4 linked regions of the Saccharomyces cerevisiae S288C genome follow. Changing the gene in region 1 together with any one later gene gives a genetic interaction. Each region holds a gene or a part of one and is shown on either strand. Other genes may lie near its edges.

Region 1 (3,355 bases):
GGATGCATGGAGAACTTTTCATGAATCAGAATGCGTGTATTTTTCTAATGCCAATGGCATCTTACCAGGAAGCAATATGGATATTTTTAAGTTCTCCATTGATGATATACACAATCCAAATGATAAAGATAGCAATATATCACAATTGGAGTTTTGTATTCAATACTTAACTTGGGGCGTTGATCGTTCTAGGAAGGAATATTGGGACAATAATGATTCGGCAAACTATAAAATTGACGTGGTAACGAATGAAACGAGGACAGGGCCCACAACAGACGTCAATGATAACTACGAGATGAAACATAGTCTTTTCAGAAACCCATTCCATTAAAGAAAAAAACAAAAACTAATAGTATTGTTTTACATATACAAAAGAAAAAAAAAAGATAAGAATACGTACTTTCTATTTTTATTTGAAGGTCATTTTCTTTATATAAAATAATATACTGGAATGATGTTCTTTTTGTTGCTTTCTATATTTGCTTTCTTTTTTTACTTTTTATTCAACTCCAGACGTTCTTAAATAACTCGTTATCATCCAATGAAATGTTAGAACTGGAATTTGAATTCATACTATTATTATTTGTAGCGGTAATTCCAGTGTTCACGAATGGTGACGGAGTATTACAAGGCTGAGGTGTCGTGGAAGTGAAAAATGAGTTCTGGCTTTGAGTCTGGGCAGAAGGTTTTGAGTATAAAGATAAAATGGATTTTTTCAAATCGTTCCTTTGCCCAAATTCACCGACTCTGTTGCCAGTCTTGGTATTAGCAGCACCTATGCTTGTTGCAGAACTAGTTACACTTGTATTAGATGTAGTCTTAGAAAGCGATGAAACCTGTAGGTTTAATAAGCTCGTATTACTCCTTGAGGTGCTTAATAAGTGGGAAGGTGGTTGTGTTTGCGTCTTTTGTAATGAATTTGAGCTCTGGTCCAATCTTGCATTCGAAGCAGGCAACGAATGATTCGCAGACGGCTTATGCAGAACTGGTTCAGTAGAATCATTTAACCCTTCAATACTGGAGAGGTCACCAATCCACTTCTTATATTCATATTTATTCTTGATGAAATTTTGTAAACTGCTCGTATCAGTGATTTTCCTCTGTTTCAATTCATCAGCCAAAGTAGCTTCGTAGTATGAGTTAGCTCTTAAATTGTTTTTGAACTGTATCAGTTTCACCAAATGTTCTTCCTTCCATGTATCCAGATCAACAGATTTCACTTTCGAAATGTGCGTTCCCAATGATCTATGTATACCAGCACATTTAATGCAAATGAAAACACCAAGTGACCAGGAAGCCCAGCGTGGATGTAGTTGCGCCTTACAGTCGGCACAATGACTGTTTCCTGGATCGCGTAAAAGAGCACTTAATGCCTTCTTGACTGGGACTGACGTCGACATCGCTTGTAAATTGCCCCACGTTCTATGCTCCTTTGTACAGTTGAAGCAAGTATTACCTTTACTTTTGTTACTATTAGTACCGATCTTATACGTATTATCGAGTCGAAAATCGTCCAGCACGAAATATGGAAACGGTGCGTTTAGGTGACTAAACTAAATAGCGTATATATTATATATGTTCCAATCTATATATATATATATGGCACTCTGTTACAGTTCCTTATCTTAAAACACAAACACCTGGTCTTCCATCTTGGAAAGCGGTTTGGAACGTCTGAACCCCAAGTCCACGGTACTTCTTCTAACTGAGGCAACCATGGCTGGAGGACCACAGATCAAAATTTGAACGTTGTCCATTGTAGCAGCGGGCAAGTGTTCCTTGATGACATCCTTGGTAATGTATCCTACACCACCAGTCCAGTCTTCACGGTCAGGAGAGTCTAAGTAGTAAACTATCTTAAATTGGGAAGGCTTCATGGCCACCAACGCTTCCAGTTCCTTCTTCAACAGAATATCCTCCTCATGGACGTTCCCAAAGACTAGAGAGACCTTGGTAGTGTCGTGAGGGTCCATGGCAATAGCTTTCATGATCTGATACATGGGCGCAATACCAGTACCACCAGCAATCATCCCTAGATGGGAACGGCAGTTTCTCTCATAATGATAGTTCCCACGAGGGCCCTTGATCTGGATCGAGTCACCTATCTTCAACTCTCCAATCATCTTAGAAACGTTACCTGTGGGGTAAGACTTCACTAGTAATTCAAAGTTTCCCTTTGTATCTCCATCCAACGATGTGGGCGTATACGATCTGGTAATATCCTTACCATTGATATTGGCCTTAATTACGATATGCTGACCAATTGGTAAACCGAGTACGTCGTCAGCATGAGGTAGCCCGAACTTGTACATCGAAGTATTATGCGTTAAGATGGTTTTTTCAACCAGCGGAAATGATTGGAAGTCATTCCTTTTGGGATCCAGCACAGGCTTGGTCTTCGGTCCGATAATGAACTTGAAGAGCAAAGGCACGACCACGATCACGATGACCACCACAAGCTTTTGAGCATCAATAGCCATCTTCGATTGCTTAATTGATTGAGTCTCTTGTTGAAGAGCCAGTTGAATGCATACTTTCAACACTTTTTTTTCTCGTTCATTTTTTCGCCTTATATAATAAGAATATTTATACATATGTAGATAATTTAAAGAAGTAGAAAGAGCCCTTAATGGTACCGCTTTACGAGGAAATTTAGCACTGTTACTTTTTGGAGAGTAGTGCAGTCTTAGAAGGGCCTTTGAGCTTGATGTACACGTCCGTGCCCCAGCCAAGTAAACTTTGAACGTCAATCTTGCCCCCAAACAGTTCTAGGTACGTCTTGCACATTGGTAGACCAAAGCCCATGCCGGAGACGTTGTTGATTTGCTCGCCGGGCAGATCTGTAGACTCAGAGTCAGCTGATTGTTGGGTATGTGTAGAGTAAGAGTAGTTGAACATGAGGGCCTCTACCTCGGGCGTGATCCCACCACCATGGTCCCGTATCCGTAAGTACAGCTCGTCATCGTCTGGCTTTAAAAGATTGATCTCTATGGGCATATGTTCCTTTCCAAGAGCTATCTGAGCTTCAAAAGCGTTCTTGAATACCTCTGTCATAATATACTCCAGAATGGGCGGAATGCACGTGAATGTGATGTCTTGTGATGGCGGGTGAATTAGGACCGGGGTCCGCTGAGTGTTGAACTTCACAAAGCATATATCATTGACATAATCAGAAACGTGCTTGATCAATTGTGCTATGGGGAGGTCCCGGTGCAAGATTCCAATCATCCTTTTGTTCGTGTCACCTTTGTTCTGTGCCATCAACGACAAATAGTGCGTCACAAGCAGCTTCATCGTGATTCTCTCCTTCAGGTGGAAGTTCAAGAACTGCGAAATTTGAAACTTTGGGTAACAC
Region 2 (3,692 bases), on another chromosome or scaffold:
CAGGGAAAAACCCTAGTAAAAATAACAGAAAGTTAATGAGCAGATCCTTGGTAAAAAAACCTCTTTTTAGCCAGACTGCTAAGGGAGGAATGAAAATTGCAATAAAAACTAAAAACCAGTCGCGGGCGTGCATAGTGTAATTCTAAAGTTGTATGTTCTCTAATACGATGACTGGTACTTGCAAAATGCTTATTCGAGGACTAACTAAGATCGATCAGTAAAGATCTCTTGTCAATCAAACCTTTCTCGCACAATAGGAGACAGGAAAAGGGGAAAGAAAGTCGAAAAAGTGCGGGTTCCGGTACATGGATTATATCGCCCCGGGACAATGCGCGTTGCCCCTCACCGGCCCGGAATATACGCGTGGTTGCGCTCTTTCGTTACCCGCGACTGTTTTGGCGCCCCATTCATGCTACGCGGATCTGGACCTGCTTATTTCCCGAGAATACGTCCCGAAAAAGTAATGCAGTTTCCGAAATGGGCGCGGTAAGGGCCTAGGCCCAACGTTGGGCCTTTTTCAGTTCCAAAAAAACGACTCGTTGGGAGCCGTGCGGTCCCGTCTTCGGGCGTGATTGGCCGCTTTGGCCGCTTCTGGGCGTAGGACGCCAAAGTTTATTTCCAAAATAGCGAAGACCAGAGCCACGCCTTTTCTTTTTGCAAGCGGAATATCCGCTTGAGAAATGAGAAAAAGAAAGCAGAAAAAAAATCATCGCTTTTTTCACGTTTGTTACATGAGATATGGTGCTGTGTGTCATCGCGGTGGTTTTCCTGGCTTTTCTCCTCATATATAAGGAACTCGAGAAATTCTTGATTTTCTTTTCCATCTTCTCCTACTGTATTATTTACTTTATTAGTTAATATTGTTTTTGATTTTAGAGGAAAATCATCATTAAACATAAGTTTCAATCAACACTAATCATCAACAAAACAATGCAATTCAAGACCATCGTCGCTGCCTTCGCTACTGTTGCCGCTGTCCAAGCTGCTAACGTTTCTACCAATGGTTCCAACCGTACCAACGGTTCCAACACCACCAGCACCAAGATCTCCACTGGTGCTGCTGCTTCCAACGCTTTGGGTGCTGGTGTCTTCGGTGCTGCCGTCGCTGCCGGTGTCGCTTTCTTATTCTAAGTTCTTTAATTTTGAGTTTAGAGACATTATACTCCTATAATATCGAAAAAATTTTTTTATTATCGCTACACAATCAAGTTTTTATGTGCTTTTTTAATAATATTATTATAGAACAAGAAGAAAGACCGCTCTTTCCTTGAAGGGACCAAAGAAGGAAAAAAAATATGTTGGAAGGGTTTTATATGATCTTTTCATGTTCGTTCACTTGTAATGGAATATTAGTTAGAAGATGTAAATAACTTATCTGTTTATTTTTATTTCCTCTCTATAATTATTACCTGTATTAATTCATTATCTAATATAAAATCTAATCTAATAATAGAATTTTCTGATGTTTATCTTTTTTTTTGTCGTATTCTCGGCGAATTAATCGCGGAAAATTTCATATCGAATTTTAAAGGAATGTCATTTTGAACGCTAAAGTATTATTTATTCTCGTCCGATGTTGGTTTTTTTTCCTATCGCTGTCGTTATAATAGTACTTGACGAAGAGAGAAGAAAAGTAAAAATTTGAGCGAAAAAGAGGATAAAAATCACATTGAGGCAGAGTGGTTAAGGTAGCTGTACCAGTCATTTTGAATACATTTTTCTGGATGTTCCATCAATAATGGATTTTTATACTACTGATATCAACAAAAATGTTGTGCCTTTGTTCAGTAAAGGAACAGTAGCAAGAACAGCATCAAAAGCACAGTATCCATCATGGTGCAACAACGCGTTAAAGTTAACTAATATTCTTCTTAAATCTCTTCGATGTAAATTTCAAACGAACCGCTGCGAGGATGATCGAGGTTTTGAGGTATATTGTGTTATTTTAAAAAGCATCGCTTTATTAATGGCCGCGAAAGAATCATTGATATTACTACAAATACCTCCTTCTTTACCATCAGGATTTCCATTTCGTTCACCCCAACTGTCATTTACATATTTATCAACCCGTCTTAGTGGGAGCCAACACAAATCTACGCATTCTCATCACATCAATCATCAAACTCATCCCATTCATAGTAGCAGTAGCAACAGTAATAGTAATAACCGTATTCCTACAAAAACAGATTCCTCCAAACAGCATACACAGCATTTCTCTTTTGCTAATGCGGGAGCCTCCAATAGAGACGAACTGCTATCAATCGTGCGCAAAATTGATAAATCTAATTTGAAGTGTTGTGACTGCGGTAGCACCGCAACAGTAGAATGGGTGTCAATCAATTTATTGTGTATATTGTGTATCAAATGTTCGGGCGTTCATCGATCTCTGGGTTCACATATCTCCAAAATTAGATCTTTAACGCTGGATAATTTCACCTCGTTAGAGTTGATGCATCTTTTACAAAATAATGTTTCCAATAGTAATGTTAATGCCATTTATGAAAGCAATCTCAGGAACTTTCCAGTTAAAAAAATAACTGCAAATTCTGATGACTCGGAAAGATCCAAATTCATTATTGATAAGTATCAATTTAAAAAGTTTGTTATCGACAGCAACCAAGGCAGAGAGGCTTCTTTGAAGTCTTTAATTAAAGCTATCCATTTAGATAGTGTTTTCATGATGCAAAGAGCCATCGCCCAAAGTAAATATTCCCTAAGAGAATTGACGGCAAGCGAAAAAGAGCAGAATGATCTAAACCATTCTTCCATTTTTCAATATTCCCTAAAGCACTATGAAATTGTTGATGGAACGCCCATTTTTTTTATTACAGAATTTTTATTGTGCAATGGTATTCATATAGATAATTTACCGAAGATTACTACGAATTGGTCTCCAAAGGTTTTAGAATATTGGGAAACTAAGTTGGAGATGTACGGAACATTCCAAGCTGTAAATACTTCTCGTCCAAGATCAGGGCCGCATTTAAATATGCATTCAAATGTAGATTCAGCTTCGTCCTACAATAAGAAACACGATTTGAGAGTTAACATACCTGAAAGAAGTGCCTCAGCAAGTAAAAGGTGGAGTTTGAGCTCCATTCCTAAGTCTTCTCAAAATTTGATGTCCCCAACAAACTTATTAACAATGCATAAGTCTTTAAAATTGGCCAAAAAGGACAAAAAATAACATATATGATAATTTAACTGTATTTTTTTCCCTTTTCTAATACTTTTTCCTCAAGTTATATTTCGGAGCTGTCCCAGGTTCGGAACAATGCGGCATCAGGGATAAAAAAAAATGACACATAAAAACGAAAAAGACACAAATTCCATTTTTTTTTTTTGACGCGAAAGAATGACACTACTTTCTTCTATTGTAACCATTTCTAACATCGATATTTTACTTGTTAGTTCAGATATATACTAAAGAGTCACTTAATATACTGTTTTTGTTTATTATCTTGGTTCCAACTGCTTCATTTAATATTTCCTATCCAAAAAAAGCCAGCTAATTCTCTTCTTTTTTTTTCTTATTTTGCCATTTTCAATATTATCGATTTAGTGAACACCTGGCTAGTCAGTTGTCTTAGCAAACATTTCTCAAAAGAAAGCAAACCAGCATTTGCTTTTTAAATTTAGTTTTTTTACTAGCTAATTCATTTACTAAACAACAAAAGAAAATAGCACAAAAT
Region 3 (3,472 bases), on another chromosome or scaffold:
TCATCACGTCTTCGTATTTCAGAACGGTTTTGTCGCCTGCATTGGGTGTGAAATGTGCAGCACAATGGTTGAGAGAGAGACCCGTTGGAAACCCAATACCTTGAGATTTGGGATCCTCCATCGCTAATAAATTTTCGGCACCTGTATACTTTCTTGTAGTATTTTCGATCATGTCAGCGATATCCATTAACTTCATCCCAGGAACGATTCTGTCCTTGATGGCCCTTCTCACACGACGATGTATCTCAGCACCCTTTCTGACATCATTCCAATGTTCGGCCCTTTCCAGATCCCTTTTCAAATAACGTGATTCTTCATCCGTGGTTCTTTGCAGATTGAAATCTTGATGATAGTCCATCCACGCACCTTCTGGGTACTTTCCATCTGGAAACAGTAATTCAATCTTCTTCACATTGCTTTTCTTCTTCTTCTTTTTCTTGTTCTTCTTCTTTTTGCTTTCTACTGGGTCTGACTCGTCAGCTTTTGCCTGGTCTTGCTGTTCAACGCCTTCATTCTCCAAATTCAATTCTTTTAAATCAGAAGCAGGGGAATTTTCTATTTCAGCGTCTGTCATTTTTCAATACGGTAGAGCTTCTACAGTACTTGTTGATGTAAAAGCCCACTTATTAGCTTCTTGCTATGGCTTCCTTTCTTTTTTAAGTTCGCTTCTTTCCCAAGATTGAAAATAAAAAATAAGTGAGACCAGGTCATTAAAGGTCCCTTGAAGAGTAAAAAATCTGTCAAATATCACCCATAAGAGCATAACCATAATGTTGAAGAGCACGCTGAGGCTTTCAAGAATCTCTCTCAGAAGAGGTTTCACAACGATCGACTGTTTACGCCAACAAAATTCGGATATCGATAAAATCATACTAAATCCAATCAAATTAGCTCAGGGAAGCAACAGCGATCGTGGCCAAACCTCTAAAAGCAAAACTGATAATGCAGATATTTTATCAATGGAAATTCCAGTAGATATGATGCAATCTGCTGGGAGAATAAACAAGAGGGAGCTTCTATCCGAGGCGGAAATTGCTAGAAGTAGCGTGGAGAATGCACAAATGAGATTCAATTCTGGAAAATCTATAATCGTGAATAAGAACAACCCTGCAGAATCATTTAAGAGATTAAACAGGATCATGTTTGAGAACAATATTCCCGGAGATAAAAGAAGTCAACGGTTTTACATGAAGCCGGGGAAAGTGGCTGAATTGAAGAGATCTCAAAGGCATAGGAAGGAATTCATGATGGGCTTCAAGAGGTTGATTGAAATTGTTAAAGATGCCAAGAGGAAAGGATACTAATCGTACCATCAACTCTTGAATATTGTGAAATTTTCGCCATTGATTTCCGTCTTTGTAAATAGGTAATGCGTAACTATTTAGTTAAATTTTTGTATATTTTTTATTCTATGACTTCACTTATCCATTATTTCCATCGTCAAAAAAAGGAAATAAATACTGTTGCTCGAACGAACAGCAAGATAAAGTGGAAACGAAAAGTAAGCAGCTTCCTCAATATGCCGTCAAACGTACGTTCGGGAGTCTTAACTTTGCTCCATACAGCATGTGGAGCAGGCGTACTTGCAATGCCGTTTGCATTCAAGCCATTTGGGTTAATGCCTGGTCTGATAACGCTAACATTTTGCGGAATATGTTCCTTATGTGGGCTGCTATTACAGACTCGAATAGCGAAGTACGTACCTAAATCTGAGAACGCCTCGTTTGCTAAACTCACCCAACTAATCAATCCGTCAATAAGTGTAGTGTTCGATTTTGCCATTGCTGTTAAATGTTTTGGCGTTGGTGTATCTTACTTAATTATTGTTGGTGACTTAGTGCCACAGATAGTGCAGTCAATTTTTTATCGTAACGATGATAACATGAGTGGTTCGCAAGAGCATCACATGTTCTTAGACAGGCGTTTGTATATAACTCTGATCATAGTGTTTGTTATCTCCCCTTTATGCTTTAAAAGAAGTTTGAATTCTCTACGATATGCTTCTATGATTGCCATTGTTAGTGTCGCATATTTATCTGGTTTGATTATTTACCATTTTGTAAATCGGCATCAGCTAGAGAGAGGGCAAGTATATTTTATGGTACCTCACGGAGATTCTCAGTCTCATTCTCCCCTGACTACATTGCCAATTTTTGTGTTTGCTTACACTTGTCACCACAATATGTTCAGTGTAATTAATGAGCAAGTGGATAAGAGCTTCAAGGTAATCAGGAGGATTCCGATTTTTGCCATCGTGTTGGCCTATTTTTTATACATCATAATTGGTGGTACAGGTTATATGACATTTGGTGAGAATATTGTAGGAAATATCCTCACTTTATACCCGAATTCCATCTCCACCACCATCGGGAGGTTAGCAATGCTGCTATTAGTTATGTTAGCATTTCCATTGCAATGCCATCCTTGCAGATCATCGGTAAAAAACATAATTATATTCATTGAAAATTTCAGAAAAGGTAAGTTATACGATAACAGAGCTAGCTTTATTCCATTAGACAACTTTAATAGTGAAGATCCGCAGGAGGCGCCAACCCAACAAAACAACGAAGAGCCAAATCTGCGTAGTGAGTCTTTACGGCATATCAATATTATCACCCTTTGTATCTTACTGTTCTCATATCTACTGGCTATTTCAATTACGTCTCTAGCAAAAGTCCTAGCAATAGTTGGTGCCACGGGATCTACGTCGATTTCTTTCATTTTGCCAGGCCTTTTTGGTTATAAATTAATTGGCTCAGAATTTACGGGCACGAATGAAAGAGTACCGACAAGCATAAAAATATTCAAATACTTAAGTTTATCTCTATTCATCTGGGGGATAGCAGTAATGGTAGCTTCACTATCAGCGATTGTATTTTTGGGCACATCATCACATTGAGTTTGTACATTACTTTTCGTATTTCTATAAACAAAAAAAAGAAGTATAAAGCATCTGCATAGCAATTAATAAAAAGGTGACCATCCCATATATATAACACTCAAATTTGATGGATCCGTGGCTTGCTGAATCAAATCTTGTACGCTAGACTCTACACTTAGTCCATTACCCATAAGCTTCTCTTCTACACCTTTAAGGGCCCTATAAGACTCTTGGTTTTCGTTCCTGTCGTTGTTACTTATGAACTTGCTGACGTTATCGAAATTTGTAATTTCATGTTCTTCTTCAAATAAGTGTTCGTATTTTTTAACTGGTGACATTACCCAGGAATAAAGGGGATCCCATTTTAAGATATTCAAAACACACATCACCTTGACATAATCTTTTCTTAATACTGCGTAAACTCTTTCACAACTCCGCCTGAATAGGCCATCCACGCCTGTGACTCCAAATCCATCAACGATATCTCTAGTTAATCTGAAAGGGACCAACTCTGGAATGGGGAGTAATTTTCCCTGATCAAACGCAATTCCCAGGTCTATATGAATAGGCTCCCCTGTTGAGCAGTCAAGC
Region 4 (3,362 bases), on another chromosome or scaffold:
AGGAAATAAACATGCACTAACCATTTGCACAACGCAGATTGTAGGACCGGAGGCGTTTGTATGCGATATCTAGAGAATACCGTTGGCGTACCGAGATGGTTAATAATCTCCAAAAGAAGTTCCTTCGTCAAGTAGCCATCAGGTAAAAAGCAATTTTCGACGATGTACACTTTTGTAACTGTGTCTATTATGGAAGTTTCACAGAGTAACCTTACAAGTGCTTGTAGTTGCGGCGAAGAAAGACCATATTGTTTTGATTTTTCGTATAGCAGGCTTAAAGTGGTTTTAAGGGCCTGTGGTGGCGTTCGTTCGTTAGCATTCGTTAGTGAGAGGATGATATCATCTAGTATAAGACTCATTCATGTAAAAAAAACAAAAATTGAAGGGCGAACCGTATTAGCAGGCGTATTGTTTTTCATTTCATAGTTGATTGTTTTTGATAATAAATGATTCTATAATTTTTCGCGTATTATACAAATAAAAGTAAAAGAAAAATAAGATAGAGGGACATATAAAGAAATAGATGTTTTTATAATAAAGGTCTATACAGTATGGAGCGTCGCGTGGCTTGGCTCAAACTTTTAGAGAACCATTGTAGTCATAAACGGATCTTGATCTGATGTACGGATCTAACTTGGAGTAGTTTTCACAAAGAGCGGTGGAAAGTTGTACTCTTTTCTCCTGCAGTTGAATGTATGCTGGATCGTTCAATGGCTGGTGTTCAATCCATTGGGCAGTGACAGTCAAGAATTGTTCGACCAATTCTTCTCTCTCCTTTTCGATCATAGCGCGAGTCTCGGTGTCTTTCAGATGGACGTCCAAAGAGCCATCTGGTGGAGTGTAATGATCCAAATCATTGTCATTTTCTCCGCCCAGATACCTAGGGATGTATTGGGGTTGGATAAACTTGTGCAATTCGTCGATATTCTTAGTGAAAACAATCTTGGACGCGACGACCGGATCCAGCCAATTCTTGATGATGTTCCAAATCGGGTTAAAGATCCAAGGGGCCTTATGGATAAGTAGATGGCCCAAAGATTCCGGGTAGTGAGCCTCAAAACAAGTGATTAGAAACTTGACGGGGGCATAGTCCATATTGGACATGGAGAACCCGTTCAGATCGAACAAGATGGTGGTGGATGCGGGGTAGTTTTCTTTGAAGAAAAGCTTTGATTGCTCGATGACCAACAGGGAGAATTTTTCCAGCTCCTGTTCAGTTTGGTCGGAAGAATGATGTAATCTAGGTCTCACAAGGATGACTGGCCTCATGTCATTGTCGTAACCCTGGATGGTGGCCTTTTGCAATTCCAGGTTCTTAATGACACCGGTCTCGTTATTCTCATACACAGCTCTTTCGCCACCGTTTATGATCTTGTTAATAGTGTCCTTGCGCCAGTACAAATCGTGACCCAACATGGCGATGGTCTTGTCTGCGTTCCACTTTCTGGCTCTGATAAACTTCAAAATGGTGGCGTCTGGAGTTTCATTCTTGATATCGTGCCAGAACTGCTTCTTGGTCGTTTGCGGGTCTAGATTGGCTAGTGCCTTGTGTATCTTGCCCTTTTCATAGAGGTGTGCCGCTTCAGCGGCTTCGCTGGAGTCCTGTGTATGGTCTGAGGACTGAAGCTTGCTAAACCAGGATGATTTCTTCTTCTTAGCAGGGGTGGACGAGGAGTGGAGGGAGTTATTAGGGAAAATATGAGTTCCATCCACGGGAACTTGCCACAGATGGAAAAGGTGTGTCCAAATTTGCTTAAGGACGACCTCCTGGTCTTCGGTCAACTGTCTATCAAAGGACATAATCTAGTTTATATGTGGTCTTCTTATGTGCTTTTGTGCTTTTATGCTTCTGTGTGCGTACGTATCCGTATATTTGTATGTTTGATTTTGTTTAAAGGAGCGTAAGTGACAAGTGCCAAGATTTAAAGAGCGTACCAAACGCTATTGTTTTCACCATGTGAACAAAGCTGTAACGATTTTATGTACGTACGCAAGAGGACGATGCCGATTGAAGGCAGGAGCTCAACAAACACGAAACAAAACAACGAAGAAAGAAAAGAAATATATCAGAGAACAGAGACCGCCTCGTTTAGGGCCGCACGTATACCGCGCACTCTTGGGACGCAGGGACGCGATGGCCTTGCCATGTGCAAGATAAACAAGCTGTCAACGGCACAAGTAGCGTTTATTTGAGACCTGCTTGCTTTAGCTTGCATCATCTCTTGTTCTTCTTACAGTGGTCGCCTTAGACCATCCCATTAGCCAGTTCATGGCCAACTCTCCGTGTGACATGACGAGTGGTTTTCCCGAGTGGAAAGGTTCAGAAATGCATCTGGATTCCGATGGCATACGGTAATTGCCGGCATTATAACACTGTACTACCGAATCCGTCGTTCGTCACCATATTAATTTTCACTCTTGTTGCAGTTATACCGCTATAAGCAATTGAGCCTGCTGAAAGCTTGCTATAAGCTAGAATGTATTGAATGTATTCATCTTCCTTACATCTCTCTCTCTCTTCACACTTGTTACCCGGCGCGGCAGCGCTCCAGATTTTTCGCTTTACGTGTTCTCTCTCATTCTCTTTGTCGTTCTCTCTCATTCTTTCTTTCGGCAACTTTTGCCAAACAACAAGCATAATTCCTGCCTTGAATTGGCGTTACGGTGGTAACGTAGTTTAGTGTAAAAACAACAAATCAAGGACCTCACTTTGCACCCTCCATCCTCAATTCCTGCTCCCAATCGGAAACTTCAGCGGCCTCCGAACTAACCTTTTTTTCAGTCCTCAATTCAACCTCACTCCATTTACTACAAGGTTCAGTTGGTGAAAGCAAAAGAAAAAAACATAGTTAAATATAGTAGCAAGTAGAAAAACTGACACTGGTTCACGCTTTACTTTGAAAATGTCCTCCAACCGTGTTCTAGACTTGTTTAAGCCATTTGAATCTTTCCTGCCGGAAGTGATTGCTCCAGAAAGGAAGGTTCCATACAACCAGAAACTTATCTGGACAGGCGTTTCTCTACTGATCTTTTTGATTCTGGGCCAGATTCCGCTGTACGGGATCGTGTCCAGTGAGACTTCCGACCCTCTGTACTGGCTACGTGCCATGCTGGCCTCCAACCGTGGTACTTTACTGGAATTGGGTGTTTCGCCCATCATCACTTCATCTATGATTTTCCAATTTTTGCAGGGTACTCAGCTTTTACAAATCAGACCTGAGAGCAAGCAGGACAGAGAGCTGTTCCAAATTGCTCAAAAGGTGTGCGCTATTATTCTGATCTTGGGCCAAGCCCTTGTGGTCGTCATGACAGGTAACTACGGTGCCCCTTCGGACCTCGGATTGCCCATCTGTTTGTTGTTA

Evidence for each region.
Region 2: of AGE2 (region 1) and AGE1, a mutation in one rescues a mutant of the other (synthetic rescue), as found in Saccharomyces cerevisiae (2 studies listed by BioGRID, with this or other methods).
Region 3: mutations in AGE2 (region 1) and AVT5 together harm fitness more than expected from each alone (negative genetic interaction), as found in Saccharomyces cerevisiae (2 studies listed by BioGRID).
Region 4: of AGE2 (region 1) and CSR1, extra expression of one rescues a mutant of the other (dosage rescue), as found in Saccharomyces cerevisiae (one study listed by BioGRID).

The regions. Positions count from the first base shown.
Region 1 is NC_001141.2:272,447-275,801, forward strand, and holds AGE2 (GTPase-activating protein AGE2), read right to left. Parts: upstream 1,401-3,355; coding exon 504-1,400; downstream 1-503. Other genes in the region: putative protein phosphatase regulator PIG2, read left to right, coding at 1-331; CBR1 (cytochrome-b5 reductase), read right to left, coding at 1,626-2,480; protein kinase PKP1, read right to left, coding at 2,662-3,355. UniProt on the Saccharomyces cerevisiae protein: GTPase-activating protein for the ADP ribosylation factor family.
Region 2 is NC_001136.10:1,487,037-1,490,728, reverse strand, and holds AGE1 (GTPase-activating protein AGE1), read left to right. Parts: upstream 1-1,738; coding exon 1,739-3,187; downstream 3,188-3,692. Other genes in the region: SNA2 (Sna2p), read right to left, coding at 1-133; API2 (Api2p), read right to left, coding at 495-824; YDR524C-B (uncharacterized protein), read left to right, coding at 931-1,131; YDR524W-C (uncharacterized protein), read right to left, coding at 1,237-1,326; putative serine/threonine protein kinase SPS1, read left to right, coding at 3,691-3,692. UniProt on the Saccharomyces cerevisiae protein: GTPase-activating protein (GAP) for the ADP ribosylation factors ARF1 and ARF2. May be involved in the endocytic pathway.
Region 3 is NC_001134.8:48,055-51,526, forward strand, and holds AVT5 (amino acid transporter), read left to right. Parts: upstream 1-1,519; coding exon 1,520-2,899; downstream 2,900-3,472. Other genes in the region: MAP2 (methionine aminopeptidase), read right to left, coding at 1-574; mitochondrial 37S ribosomal protein bS21m MRP21, read left to right, coding at 771-1,304; DNA-binding protein kinase TEL1, read right to left, coding at 2,965-3,472. UniProt on the Saccharomyces cerevisiae protein: Probable amino acid transporter of unknown specificity.
Region 4 is NC_001144.5:876,720-880,081, reverse strand, and holds CSR1 (Csr1p), read right to left. Parts: upstream 1,801-3,362; coding exon 574-1,800; downstream 1-573. Other genes in the region: CTF3 (Ctf3p), read right to left, coding at 1-359; YLR379W-A (uncharacterized protein), read right to left, coding at 2,366-2,638; translocon subunit SEC61, read left to right, coding at 2,904-3,362. UniProt on the Saccharomyces cerevisiae protein: Non-classical phosphatidylinositol (PtdIns) transfer protein (PITP), which exhibits PtdIns-binding/transfer activity in the absence of detectable PtdCho-binding/transfer activity.